Linked DNA regions of Sus scrofa. The protein of the gene in region 1 interacts with the protein of each later gene in a biochemical or structural test. Links are inferred from orthologs where the notes say so. Each region holds a gene or a part of one and is shown in the gene's direction. Other genes may lie near its edges.

Region 1 (4,660 bases):
CAGGGGGGAAGAAGGCCCGGTCCCCACGTACCTGCGTGAAACTAGAGCGTGTCTGTAGGCGTGTACACGAGCATGTTTATGTGTGTAAACGCACCAAGTGTGTGTTTGTAAACCACCTCCAGGGCCACGCCCAGTCCCCGGGCAGGTGTATAAACCCATGGGTGTGTGTCTGTGGGCGTGCAGGTGTGCAAACAGTGCATCGTGCACACTGGCAGAGAGCATCCCGAAAGCCTGGGGAGACAGAACGCCGCTCCGAAACAGCACACACCCCAGTCCCCGCCCTCGGGTGCCTGCTGAGCCCACGCGCAGGCTCACGTCCATGCGTGATTCTTGTCCGTATCAACAGCCCTGCGTTGCGTGGGCTGCCTGGCGGTCCCACACATGCACGGGCTTCATGTAGTCACCTGTTGCCCCGTTCAGTAAATGGTCGCAGAGTCCCAGCTTCTCACTGGAGAAGCCCAGCCCTGCCCGTCCCCTAGTGCCCGCAGTCCGGGGAGGAGGCAGACAGGGAACTGGGCAACCTCCCTGTGGGGGTGGGCACCCGGGGGGAAGCCTAGAGGGAGGAGGGGTTCCAGCCCCGGCTGTGGGATCTGGGAACGCATCCTGGTGAGAGGAAGCTTTAGGTCAGCGTGAGATCACCAGGAGTTAGCCCGGTGGGGGCGGGGGCGGGGGCTCTGCTCGGAGGGAACAGCCGGTGCGCAAGCCCAGAGGCAGCGTGCGTTCAGAGACGTGCAAGCCATTCAGCCTGGCTGGAGAACAGAGTGTGGGTGTATTTCGGGGCTTGGGCAAGAGGCAGACGGGAGGGGCTGTAGGAGAGGCGGGAGCCAGGGCAAGGGGAGCCATGAGGGTTGCTCGAGGTGTTTTGGACATTTTTATGCCTGCACGCAGGTCCGTGGGCTTGTGCAGGCAGGCGTGCCTCTAAACAGACCTGCCTCCCCCGCTCTCCGGTGGGATGCCTGGGGGCTAAAATGCCTTATCTCACCCGTGCGCCCACATGTGTACCTGAAAGCGGGCACCTGCCGACCAGCTTCGAGCTGGAAGAAGTAAAGCTTTGGTGCACCACCTGAGGGGGAGCCATGCACCAGCGCCCGGGGAACTGCCGTGGCTGAAGGCTCCCCTTTTTACTCGGAGATGGCTCCCTAGGAGATGTGGGCTTCCTTCCCAGGACATGTGACCTGGTGGGAGAGGGAGGAGAGGAGCGAGGCTGGTCTGAGTCCCTGAGGAGGAGGGAGGGGCTCTCTAGGGAGCAGAGGAGGGCAGCTGGGGGACAGGGAGGAGGGATGAGTTTCCGGGGCACTACGTGGGTGGCTGGAGGGGCAGGGCAGGGGCCATGAGAGTCTGGCCGGGGTGGATGCGGCGGATTGGGAAGGAGGGGGTCGCTGGGCGGCAGAGAGGCTGAGGCCTTGGGGGGACAGGAGACTCAGGCTTGAGCGGGCCCTTTGTGGCTACCCGAGTTCCCGGGGTGGGGGGGGGTGCTTTACAACTGCCATCACCACCACACCCCCGATGGACATGCGGGGTGAAGTGGGGGAGGAAAGAGGCCGCCTTCTGCAGTTGGGAAGCATCAGCCCGAGCGCTCAGCTCTCGGGCCCGTGGGCCCCTCGGTCGGGCTCTGTCCTGGCTGCGACAGCGCTGATGAGGACATGGATTCAGGGGAGACGTGCGCCCAGCCCAGCTGTCAGGCGCTCACATCCAGCTCGCAGCCACGGCAGGGAGGCCGCACGGACCCTGGCAAAGGGCTGAAGGATGGGAGGCCGGGAGCGATGCGGGGTAGTCAGGGCACCGTCTGGGGTGTTTACGGGAGCGCCTGAGGGTCTGACCTCTCAGGCCGAGGCGGCTGGGGCTGCTTCCCTTCCGGCGGGCCGGGCGGGGAGGGCTCTGTGGTGCCAGAGATGGACTGGGGCGGGGGGAGCGGCAGGGGCCCGTTTGCCGCTCAGCAGCTCTCGCGCCCGCCCCAGCCCTGCCCTTCCAGGTGGTGGTGGTCTCCGCGGTCCTGGCGCTGGTGGTCCTCACCGTCATCTCCCTCATTATCCTCGTCATGCTCTGGCAGAAGGTAAGCGCCCTGCCTCCTGGGGGCGGCCTGCCACGCCGCCGTCTTCACGCGGACGCCCTCTGCCACCCTCGAGGGCGGTAGGTCTGGCCGTGAGTGCGGAGCTCAGGTGGAAGGATACAAAGTGAGGCCGGGGTCCGAGCTGCCTCCGGCCCCAGCACCCCGGGCCCCGCGAGCCGGGTCCCGGCCGTCCCGGGGCCTCCTGTCTCTGCCGTCATCCCAGCCCCCACCCCGGGCCCCGCCAGGCGTCGCCCCCACCCATCCCAGCCGCAGGGCCTGGGACCTTCCCGGTGGGCCGCCTGGCCTCTCCAGCTCGCAGCCCTAAAACCACCCAGGATTCCACGGACGGGAATTCTAATCCCGTTCGTCAGCAGTGCTGAGAGTCAGCTCTGAGAGTTTATCCTTCCATGACCCCAGTGTCCTGCAGTTCCTGGGTTCGGGCTGCAGCTCGGCCACAGTTCTGTGCGTCTAAGACTGCAGCCCTGTGATTCCAGCATCCCGTGGTTTCAACATTCCGAGGTTCCGTCTTTCCGAGACTCCCGCTTGGGGCCGGGCCGGCCGCCCCCGGCAGAGCGTCCCCTCCCTCGAGTCACCTTCCAGGGCTGCCTGCTCCTCTGCTCTCGTCTGAGGAGCGGTGGCGGTTCTGGGAGAAGCCAGTGAGGAGGCTCTGATGCGCCTGCCCTCCGCTGTCGGCTGCTCCTCAGCCGCCTCCCCCGGGCGCCCTCCCCCTGGAGCCCAGGGAAGCCCGGATGACTTGCTGTGTGACCCCGGCTACGCCCCAACCCTTCTGGGCTTCAGGGTCTCTCGCCCCATCTGTTTCCTAAGGCGCTGGGCCTCGTGGGCCTCAAGGCCCGGCCCCCCTCCGATGACCCACGCCTGGTCTCGTCCTGCAGAAGCCGCGCTACGAGATCCGGTGGAAAGTGATCGAATCCGTGAGCTCTGACGGCCACGAGTACATTTACGTGGACCCCATGCAGCTGCCGTACGACTCCACCTGGGAGCTGCCACGGGACCAGCTCGTGCTTGGTCAGTCCAGGACCTCGAGCGGCCGTCTGGGCACTTGGGGCGGGGGGCGGGCACTATCTGAGGTCCAGGCCCAGCCTGGGCACGACTGGCTTGGAGACCTCAGGCTGGTGGCTCTGGCATCTCTGGCCTCAGGGCCCCTCTGGCGGGGTCAAGAAGATCCCCAAGGGCCACCAGCCCCGAGGTCCTACGGCCTGTGAGGAGTGAGATGGGACCCCTTGGTGGGGGGGGGAGTATTGGTTGAGGGCGGGCTGAGTGCCAGGCTGGTGCGTCGTCCAGCCAGAGAGGCTGAGGGGGTTCAGAAGAGCCGTGTTCCCTTTGGGAGGGAGCACGGCTTCCAGAGGCTAAAGATGGGCAGGAAAGCAGGCAGGACCAAGGTGAGACCAGGCAGGACAGAGATGAGACCAGGCAGGGGCGAGGTGAGACCAGGCAGGGGCAAGGTGAGACCAGGCAGGGCCGAGGTGAGACCAGGCAGGGGCGAGGTGAGACCAGGCAGGGCCGAGGTGAGACCAGGCAGGGGCGAGGTGAGACCAGGCAGGGCCGAGGTGAGACCAGGCAGGACGGAGATGAGACCAGGCAGGACGGAGATGAGACCAGGCAGGACGGAGGTGAGACCAGGCGGGGCTGTGGCGCACTGTGATTTTAGCAGGGGCATGGGAGAAGCAGCTTGGGCACAGGGTGGGTGGCTGACCTCTGGGGGCGTGGGCATGCACCTCCTTGTGGGTCCGGCGCTGAGAAATGGTCTTTTCCCAGGACGCACCCTGGGCTCTGGGGCCTTTGGTCAGGTGGTGGAGGCCACAGCTCACGGCCTGAGCCATTCTCAGGCTACCATGAAAGTGGCCGTCAAGATGCTGAAATGTGAGTCCTGGGAGCCCTGCCCCCCTGCCCCCAGCAGGCCTCATTCTGATTCTCCGGGCGGGAGAAGGGCAGTCCCGCCTCAGCTGGCAGCACTGGGGATTCTGCTTTGGGAAATTTCTCCTCCTCTGGGGGCCTCCTCCCCTCCCCCCATCCCCCCCCCCTCTTCTGGGCGGGGATCTTGCCTCCGTGGCTGCCTGGGTCTGTATGTGGGTCAGCGCAGACCAGGGCAGAAGGGCCAGAGGCCTTGGTGGGGCCTCCACGGGCCTCGGCGACGGCCCCGGCCTGAGGCCCCCCCTCTGTCCCGCAGCCACAGCGCGCAGCAGTGAGAAGCAAGCCCTCATGTCGGAGCTGAAGATCATGAGTCATCTCGGGCCTCATCTGAACGTGGTCAACCTGCTGGGGGCCTGCACTAAAGGAGGTACCCGCCCCAGGGGATTCTGGGAGAGTGCCAGGGGCCAAAGGCCCCCCCCCCCGTCCCTGGACCCCAGGACACTCCAGCCAGAGGGCGTGCCCATCCTGTCCAGTGCCGTCGCCGCACGGAGCCTGACGGTCACAGAGTCGCGTCACCTTCCCGGCCAGAGCGCTCCTCCGGTCCCCGGCCCGAATGGTTTCTAAATCACGGAGGCCTCTGACGTGGAAACATTTCGTAATGATGTTAAAGCCTGAGATAAGGACCAGCTCATGCGACCCTGAAATGAGCGGCAGCCCCACCCCGGAGACCCCCCCAGC
Region 2 (4,660 bases), about 140 Mb from region 1:
CATCCAGAAACATAGCGGGTCTCTTTAGCTTTCTAAGCTTTCTGCTGAATGCGTAACAGAGGTGTTAGCCCACAGAGGCCTCTGGGAGGAGTTTACCACTTCCCTTGAGAGAAGGGATGCGGCTCAGGCAAATCTAGCGGATGTTTTCTGCATCGACAGTGGAGGAGTCATTTGCAGACTTCATAGAATTTTCAGGGGTGACCCTGTGCATTGAGAACAAGAACTCAGTCCTCATTTTCCACACAAGGAAACAGAACTCTGGAGAGAGGTGTTAGGATTCTTGAGGGCAGGCATCAGGAACCAGGCTTCGGGTATCTTGGACTAAAAGAGCAGCTTCTCGTCTCGTGTATATTTCCCTGCTGGGACAGCCAGGCAAGGCCTTGAAGGAAGAGGCGAGATGACTCTTGTCTGTCCTTGTTGCTTCTTTCTCTTTAGCAGCTTTCGCCTGCTTCAGCAGTTCTGCCTGGTTCGCCCTCTCTCTGCAGGGGTCTGGTCCAGGACAGAGTTTCTGGAGTGAGTGGGCTCTGAGTAGCCACGTGCAGATCACGTGGCCGTCCCGAGAAATCCATCTTTGGAGCTGGGTGGGAAAAGGTGACTTCTCGAAAGAAGGGGAGAGATGCAGATAGCTGAGTTGGTGAGAGAGGCCCCAATGTCTATGGTGCTACCTGGGATAAAAGTGCAAAGTCACATACCGGCCTCACTCAGGGCCCTCTCAGGAGCGTGTATCCTTCTGGGGGAGGAAAGGAACAGATATTTGTGTGGTAGCAGCTGTGGGTGGGTTGGCTTCTCATGGGGGGAGGGGAAGGGGTGGGGGAAGGGCAGCGGCGCTGAAAGAAGACAGGTTTGTTCTTCTGTTGCACGTCACGTCTGCTTTGCTTTTTTTGGTTTGAAACAGATGCCAACAACACAGACAGCTTGTCCCAGCCACTCAGGAGCCCTGGCGTCCCTGGGTACAAATACCGACTGGAATCTGCAGACCTGCCCTCCGACCCTTCTCTGACCCCGGACACCACGGAAGTCCTGGTTTGGGGGTTAAAGTCTGATGCAGGGTACAAGGCCACTGTTTATCCCCGGGCAGCAGATGGCCCCGAAGGACACCCCCAGGCCACAGAGTTCAAAACAAGTATGTTGAATTTTGTAACATAGCCACAGCCAGAGCTTTCTAGCACAAAATTTGTCTTCTGGGATTCTGGTTCTGAATTACCTCTTGCTTCTTAAGTAGTTTTGCTGTTGGAGGGAGTTTAAGTAGTTTGTTGTCAGAGGGAGTTTTCTGGAAGAGATTTTTGGACAGAGCAGATCCAGTAAGTTTCTTTTCCTTTTCTTTTTTTTTTGGCTGCACCCATGGCATATAGAAGTTCCTGGGCCATGGAGTTCCTGTTGTGGCTCAGTGGGTTAAGAACCCGACTAATATCCATGAGGATGTGGGTTCGATCCCTGGCTTTGCTCAGTGAGTTAAGTAAGGATCCAGTGCTGCCACGAGCATAGTTTGCAAATGCCGCTTGGATCTGGTGTTGTGGTGGTCGTGGTGTAGGTTGGCAGCTGCAGCTCCGATTCAGCCCCTACACAGGGAACTTCCTTAGGCTGCAGGTGCAGCCCTAAAGAGGAAAAACAAAAAAGAAAAAAAAAACAAAGTTCCTGGGCCAGGGATCATACCTGCTCCACAGCAGTGACCTGAGCCACAGCAGTGACAATACCAGATCCTTCACCGCTAGGCTGCCGGGAAACTCTGTTTCTTCTTCACTTTGTGTCCGAGACCCTTCTTTCATGGAACTCAGTGCAGCGTGTTGAGCAGCTGCCATGTGCAGACGCTAGCTGCTGCCTCAGTCTCTCTTTCCTTTGACTCTGCAGACTAGCCAATGAGTCCAACTACTGTGATGTTTTTCTCTTGAACTTGATCTTCACTTTGTCCATGTTGGTTAGGAGTTTTCCCCTTGAAAGACGAAAATGTGTTTCTTCTTTTGACCTGATCTTGGAAGGCCTGCTGACCTTCCTGTGACATTTGCTGGCACCCACAAGTGCCAGGTATATTTCTATCTCTAATTTGTCAGCACTCCCACTCTGTATGTGGAACAATATTTAGAGGCTTTTGGGATCGGTGCTGATGAGAGGGTTAAGAAACGCATGGCTCCTCCCCTCGAGGGATGCCCGTATGGATGGGGAATTGAGGCAAATGTACATGAGAAGTCCATGGTCAGCCTCTGTGGGCTCAGAAACAAATGCTGCAGCCCTGTAGTCCTCAGGGGCTCGGTGGCAGGCAGCACAGACCGACTCTGGTTATGTTATCCCCAAATATATCTGTTCCAAAAGGCTGTCAGAGACCCATAGAATGGAGGGAGTGAGTGTGAGGCTGGAGGTCAAGGACAGAAACCAGGCTAGCATCCAGGAAAGTCTGGACTACGCTGGACTGGTGACCCTCCCTCCAGATTCTAAGGTGGTGAGGGGAAAGGGGCTCCTCCAGGGGTGCCGTTGACAATGATGGGGCTGTCCTACTCACAGGATGCTAGTGCAGGGGTGAGGGGGGCTGGGATCTAGGCTGTGGGCCCCTCACCAAGCCATGCACCCCAGGGCAGAGCCATCCAGAGGAGGGTCTCTCTGCCTGATTTGCTAAAAGAGGCCCTGCAGATTAGTGTGGGCTGGGGCCCTCCTTTTTAAAGTGATTCGAGTGGAATTAAATAATTGATTATATGTTAAGCTTTTGGACAAATGGATACACACAGAGTCTGATTTGTGTTGATTGTCGTAGTGCCTAATAAATGATATCTGTATTATGTACACTCGTAATAGTTATGTTATGGTCTTAACCTCCTCTCTACTGTGGGTGTATGTATATGTATGTGTGTCTATATTCATGTACAGACACACACCCAGACTTTTTTTCAAGTAACTATCCAGGTGGAGTTAAGAGAACCACTGGAGGATGTTGAGACACCCAAGACTAGTTGTGGTAGAAAATCATGTCCCAGGCTGGAGAGCAAGGGGGAGGAGACAGTGTTTCTAGAGCCCAGTGAGGGGCTGGGGCCGTGGAGGACGCAGCTGGACCGGAACAGGTGACCCAGAGCAGGAGGCAGTACAGAGAAAGACTCTAGTTGTTTTCCTCCTCCAGCCCTCCAGGAGCCTGCCTGTGTCACCCGTTGGTGGAACCTGGTCCCAGGCCACCTGGCAGGAATGCCACTCACCCCCCAACCTGGGCCCCAGGGATGCAATGTGCAGGGGTCAGCCTCCTGGACACAGAACAGGCAGAAGAAGGTGGAGGGTAACTTGGGAGGGTGGTGTGTGCAAATGATGAATAACTTGTACTCTTTGAGTCAGAATTGTTATCCTGCTTTCATAGATGAGGAAGCTCAGGTTTTCCTAAGATCCACCTGCCTATTAAAGCTGAGCTGACCTTGGAATCCAGAGCTGCCCCCTGCTAAAGCCTGTGATCTTTAAGTGATCATGTAGAGTATGTTTATATGCTTGAGACCTTTTGGGGTCACCCTGAACCTCGTGGGGGGCATGTTGTTTGAGGTGTCCATTGCGATCTCTAAGAGTCAGCTCACAAAGAAGAACACAGACTAACTCCCCAGGTGCAAGTGGTCAGGTGGTTTCTTCACTGAAGATGCTGCCTGAATTCTGCTGGGACCCCCATACAGTTGGGTACGTTGTAGTTGTACTTAAACGTGTAGAGTTGGAAGGAAGAATCACTGAGTGCTGCTTAGATTGGATGATGTGCCCTGCTGACAGCTCCTCTCTCTTTCTCTCTGTCTCTCTCTTTGGCTTGGCCCTTCTGGTGGTTGTTAACGCCTCTTGTGTCTTCGCAGATTCCAGTCAGGTTTTTGATATTAAAGTTGTGAACATCAGCGCCACCAGCTTGACCCTGACCTGGAAGATCAATGATCATGAGCCGTCCTCCGTCTATACCTATGAGATACAGGTTGCTGGCGAGACAGATTCCTTCAATCTCACTGTCAATGAGACTCAGGCCGTCCTCACTCCACTCAGATCGAGTTCCTTGTACAACATCACGGTGTGTCCTCTCCTCGACGGTGGTTCCACGGGCACGCCGGGCTTTCTCCAGGTGTACACCCGTGAGTCCACTCCTGCTTTGTTAACCTTTCATGCTTGCCTGCTCTGTGCCAGGCCCTGATACGAGACAGACTCTATTCCTGCCCTCACCGCTAAGCGTGTGGGTCCACAGGGACTCTTGCTGCCTTCAGGATGTGTGATCTAATAGCGATAATCATTGGTTGACCCTCCCACATGCCCAGCGTCACGTGACGTGCTTTCCTTGCACTGTCTCATTTAATATCCTCAACTCTGTGACATGTCTGGCATTAGCCTTATTATGTGGATGAAGAAGCCAAGGCTGAGAGGTTCTGTGGGCAGGTGTCACACCTTGTAAGTGTCAGAAGTGGGATTAGGCAGCTGGGCTCCCTGGACTCTAGCCTGTGCTTATAATGACCATTCTAGTGTGTTAGAGATGGGGAGCTAATTGGTACATGGAGACAAAAGGAATCTGCGTGATTCATGTCCCTTGTTCCTTTGGATGCTGATATTATAATGAGGCAGGACACAGCTACTATGCCTTGTCTTTTCTTCTCAGCCAACCGTCCCTTAAAAATAAGATGATAGGCAGCAAATAAAAAGGTTTCTGTTCCAAAGGAAGTCCAGTCATTAAAAC
Region 3 (4,660 bases), on another chromosome or scaffold:
TTGCTGGGAGGTGGTAGGAAGTGCTCTGAGCCAGGGCGGGAGCCAGGAATGTGAGCAATGCTGGGCCAGGCTGGCCCCCTCCAGGCCCAAGGCTCTGGCCTCCTCGCTGGGCCTCCCTGCCAGGGTCGGCCCCCACCCCGACGGCATTGCAGCCCCTCAGCCTGAGGGTCTAGTCCGAGCACTCCTTGGACCCTGACCCTAATGAGAGAGGTCTGGGCCGATGTTGGAAGAACCCCCCACCGGGCTGTGTGGGGAGAGGCGGAATGCCGGGTTGAGGCAGGGAGACGGTTTCAAACTGGATGTGACTTCATGTGGCCTGGCCTCGTGGCCCCGGATGCCCCCCCATCCTGCTTCCCGTTTGGGGGCCTTGAGAGGCCACGCCCTGGAACCACTGTGGAGGGCGTGGGAAGAGGCCACAGGGCTGGTGCTGAGGGCTGGCCTTTCACACGGCTGGTCACTGCGGGTCTGTGTGCAGCCTGTTTGTGAGCGTGTGTTTGCAGAATGGTCCCTGGGACCCTGCGATGTGCCTTGGCCCCCAGGCCCTTGTCCACACGCCAGGCGTGGCGTTGCCACACATCCACCGTCTCTCACGGCCTGGCTCTGCTCCGTCAGACCAGCAGCCCTGGGACCTGTGCTCTGACAGCCCGGACCCAAGAGGGGCCGCAGAGCCGCACCCCTGTGCTTCCAGGCGTGTCTGGGCATGAGTGGGTCGCTGAGGTGCCAGAGAAGCCAGGCTCTCACAGTTCAGCCCATGTCCCCTGGCTGAAGCCTTGGGGGACCGAGGCACCATGCCTGGTTCCTGGAGTTGCTGGGGTTGAAGGGCACATGGTGGCCCGCAGTGGGGTTTCTGAGGGGACAGGCTTTGGGGTCAGGGAAGGGGTCCCGGAGGAGGGTCACAGGCTGGACTGGCAGAGGGTGTCCCCCACAGGTGGGAAGGCCCGGGGACCAGGGCGAGGCAGTCCCTTGTGAGAAAGATGCTGTCAGATGGGGGCTTTGGGCTCCGAGGCCTGGAGGGGGTCCTCCCTCAGCGCCACCGCCAGCCGGCCCAGGGTCCCCCCACACAGGGAGGCGTGGGGAAAGGGCCCTGGTGAGCACCCCCAGCCCACCCCACTCCGCCCGGTGCTGTTCACCTGCCGGCTCCCTGCTCGGAAACCTGAGCTCCCGGCCGCCCGGCCGCCGCCATATTGGGCTGACACCTGCTCCGTGCAGGGGTCGCTGCCTTGGGCCGTGGCCGGGTGGGCCTCCTGGGCCTGGGCCCCTGCCTGCGCGCCCCCACCCCGCACCCCCGGCCCGGAACCCTCCTGCACGATGCCAGAGGTAAAGCGAGGCAGGGCCCTGGGGGGTCGAGGGCCTTCCCAGGGGAGCAGGAAGGTGGGAGGCAGGCCCCGCCCTCGCTCCCCTCTCATCCCCGGTGCCTGTGCCTGTCTGTCGTCGAGGCTAGGCGGGGGTGGCTCCTGCTGGCGCTGGAATGTGAAAGCAAACACAGCCCGCCTGCTACCAGCCCTGTGGAGACCTTTGGGAGAGTAAACAAAACTGCCTGCCTGCTGGAGCCAGCCCCACACTTCCGGATGGGGTTGCGGCGGGAGGGGGGGGGGGAGTGTGACAGCAGGCAGGGCCCATGGGGACAGCCCTCCCGGAACACTGATGAGCGGTGGCTCGTCTCACCTGGTCTCTCCGAGGACCCGGGTCTGTCCTCAGCCCTGTCCTTGAGCCAGCCGATTCTCCCAACACCCCTGGAAGGTCCCTGACCCCCTTGTGGGTCCTTTGGGGTTTGGAAGCTAAGGCTTCGTCCAGGACCCCGAAGCTGCATCGTCACAGGCAGCCTAAGAGGTCCCCCTGCCGCCCCAGGCATGGGTGTGGTGCTGTAGGCCCCTGAGACCAGGGCTGCCAGTCAGGTAGGGGCACGATGCTGAATGTGGGGTGGCTTCTCTCCAGCCGCCTCCACTGCTGCGTTCACAATTGGTGTCAGCTCCTCCAGGGGTGGGAGGTAAGGCCTGGAGCCTCATCCCACATCCCCTGTGCCTGCAGGATGTCAACGGGCCCCTGAGGGAGCTGCGCCCAAGGCTCTGCCACCTGCGAAAAGGCCCCCAGGGTTACGGGTTTAACCTGCACAGCGACAAGTCCCGGCCTGGACAGTACATCCGCTCCGTGGACCCAGGCTCACCTGCTGCCCACTCCGGCCTCCGAGCCCAGGACCGACTCATAGAGGTACCGCCATGGAGGCTTCGGGGTGCTGGCTGCCCTGTGTGCGCCTCTGTGCCTGGCCCCTTCTGTTTGTGTCTGGGCCCACGGCCCCCCCATGTGTGTCCCCGCCGGGTCCTTCCCTGTCTGCGCAAACGTGTTCCGAGCCCCAGGTCCTCCCGGGAGGAGGGGAGATGCTGGGAACCTGAGCTGCTGCTTCTCTGGCTACCCTGGCTGGTGACAGCGTTGATGAATATTTGATGCCACACCTGGCCAGGTAGCCCGGGGGGCTGGTGGGGCCCTGCCCTGCCCTCAGGCAGCACTGACACCGTGCTGGCGGTGGCAGGTGAACGGGCAGAATGTGGAGGGGCTGCGGCACGCGGAGGTGGTTGCCTGCATCAAGGCGCGGGAGGACGAGGCCCGGCTGCTGGTGGTGGACCCCGAGACGGATGCGTACTTCAAGCGGCTGCGGGTCACACCCACCCAGGAGCACATGGAAGGTGGGTGGCCGCCCTGGGGGCCAGGGCTGGGGAGAAGCCTCGGGGGCAGAGCCATTGACACACTGTCCCCACAGGTCCACTGCCATCACCTGTCACCAATGGGACCAGCTCAGCCCAGGTGAGAGGGTGGGAGGGGACAGGGCTGGCCCAGGAGACCATACGGGGCACCTCTGGGAGTCCCCAGGCTTGACAGAGCCCCTCCCGGATCTGTCCTTGTGTAGGCGCGGTTGGGAGACCCTGTCCGGCCCAGTCACTCCAGCTCTAATACTCCTATGGGTCCCTTCCAGCTCAGCCACACCCTCGCCCAGGGTGGGGGTGGGGACAGGGGGCACCTACTGTGCCGAGTAGATGCTCCGTGGCCGCTGCCAAGTGGAGGAATAAATGCAGCTCTGCTGCTGTGTGTGGGGGCCCTCCCGGCCCCGGGCCCTAAAGCCACACCTTACCTTGGTTTCCCAGCTCAATGGTGGCTCCGTGTGCTCGTCCCGAAGTGACCTGCCCGGCTTAGACAAGGACACTGAGGTAGCTGGTGCCCCTCCACCTCCACTGCTGTGGTCCCTCCCTGGGGGGCCTGGAGCCTTGGGGGCGGGTGTCCCCGGAGCTGTCCGCCTGGGCGGTGAGGCCACCACCGCTGGGAAGCCCTCCTGAGCCTGCTGCCCGGTGGCCTCTGGTGTGCGTTCAGTGGGAAGGGTCACCCGGCTGGGGGCTTGGGTCCAGGGCTCACTCTGGCCACCTGGCCACCGTGTCCACCCCTAGGACAGCAGCACCTGGAAGCGTGACCCTTTCCAGGAGAGTGGCCTCCACCTGAGCCCCACGGCGGCTGAGGCCAAGGAGAAGGCGAGGGCCACCAGGGTCAACAAGCGGGCGCCACAGATGGACTGGAACCGGAAGCGTGAGATCTTCAGCAACTTCTGAGACCCCCCACCCTCCGCCGCAGCCGCCGCCTGGTCCCCAGCCGGGCCTCCTCTGGGCATGGACCTTGGGCCTTGCCCAGAGCGCCCCGAGCCTCAGTGGACTGCAGCGGGGGCACCTTCGCTCGCTAAGCCGTGGTGGTCCCACCACCCCCCATGAACCAGCCCGTGCCCCAGTGAGCCCCCGTCCTGCCCCCTTCCCACGGGGTGCTGGGGAGCGGGCAGAGGAAGCCCCTGAGACGGGAGGGACAGAGACACCCAGAGAGGTGGGCTGGGGAGGGGAGGCTGGGGTGACCCGCCAGGCCGGGCCCTTGCTGCTCTGCCTGGGCCTGCTGACTTAAAGGAATTTGTGTTTTGGCTTTTTTTCCAACACGAGCTCTGGCTCCACACATGTTTCCACTTAATACCAGAGCCCCCACCCCCATCCCCTCAGGACGTGCTCTCTAAATAATTGCAATAAAACAAACCTTTCTCTGCAAACCATTTCCTCCCACCTCCCTCAGCAGCAGCCTTCCCCGAGGGAGTCCCAGGGCCTTCCAGGGGCAGAGTTCTGGGGCCCCCAGGCCGTGTTCACGCAGGCTTCGGGGAGGCTAGGAGCCCCACGTGGCTATAAGAGCTAAGAGCTGCCTCGCTGCTCAGGCCCTGCCCTCCCTGGCGTGGGGGTTGGGTCGGGGGCAGGGCCTGGGTTCTTGGTGGGGCCCGAGATGGAGAACTTCGGCCCTGCCCGAGGAGGGCAGCCTGTAGACAGGCCCCTTGTCCCTGCACGGCAGCCCCCAGGAAGGTCCCCAAGCTCTTGGCTCGCCTGCCCTGAGCCGCCCCTGAAGATGCCCCACCGACTCCGCCTTCCTTCCTGCCCAGAACCAGACCGACCCGGCATCGCTGTCTGCCCTAAAAGCCATAGCGCATGCGCGCCCTCAGAATAAATAGGCCTTCCTTGTATCCTGGCTCTCTGTTCACCCTGAACTTTCATTGCAGGGGTTGGGGGTCATTTTCCTGGCAGGGAGGCAGCAGCCCGGCAGCTCCCCAAATCTCAGCTGGTGCACACGGAGACCGGGTCCTGAGCGGCCCCTC

The links.
Region 2: of the proteins of PDGFRB (region 1) and PTPRJ, one has a biochemical effect on the other in vitro, tested with the Homo sapiens proteins (2 studies listed by IntAct). The link is inferred for Sus scrofa from reciprocal best matches to the Homo sapiens genes PDGFRB and PTPRJ.
Region 3: the proteins of PDGFRB (region 1) and SLC9A3R2 form a complex in vitro, tested with the Homo sapiens proteins (2 studies listed by BioGRID and IntAct, with this or other methods). The link is inferred for Sus scrofa from reciprocal best matches to the Homo sapiens genes PDGFRB and NHERF2.

Annotation. Positions count from the first base shown.
Region 1 is NC_010444.4:151,164,813-151,169,472, reverse strand, and holds part of PDGFRB (platelet-derived growth factor receptor beta), read left to right. Parts: intron 1-1,958; coding exon 1,959-2,053; intron 2,054-2,943; coding exon 2,944-3,076; intron 3,077-3,826; coding exon 3,827-3,931; intron 3,932-4,238; coding exon 4,239-4,349; intron 4,350-4,660. UniProt on the Homo sapiens protein: Tyrosine-protein kinase that acts as a cell-surface receptor for homodimeric PDGFB and PDGFD and for heterodimers formed by PDGFA and PDGFB, and plays an essential role in the regulation of embryonic development, cell proliferation, survival, differentiation, chemotaxis and migration.
Region 2 is NC_010444.4:14,591,738-14,596,397, reverse strand, and holds part of PTPRJ (receptor-type tyrosine-protein phosphatase eta), read left to right. Parts: intron 1-895; coding exon 896-1,123; intron 1,124-3,800; coding exon 3,801-4,067; intron 4,068-4,660. UniProt on the Homo sapiens protein: Tyrosine phosphatase which dephosphorylates or contributes to the dephosphorylation of CTNND1, FLT3, PDGFRB, MET, KDR, LYN, SRC, MAPK1, MAPK3, EGFR, TJP1, OCLN, PIK3R1 and PIK3R2. Plays a role in cell adhesion, migration, proliferation and differentiation.
Region 3 is NC_010445.4:39,942,239-39,946,898, reverse strand, and holds the end of SLC9A3R2 (Na(+)/H(+) exchange regulatory cofactor NHE-RF2), read left to right. Parts: intron 1-2,028; coding exon 2,029-2,208; intron 2,209-2,527; coding exon 2,528-2,681; intron 2,682-2,755; coding exon 2,756-2,799; intron 2,800-3,137; coding exon 3,138-3,200; intron 3,201-3,434; coding exon 3,435-3,593; 3' UTR 3,594-4,528; downstream 4,529-4,660.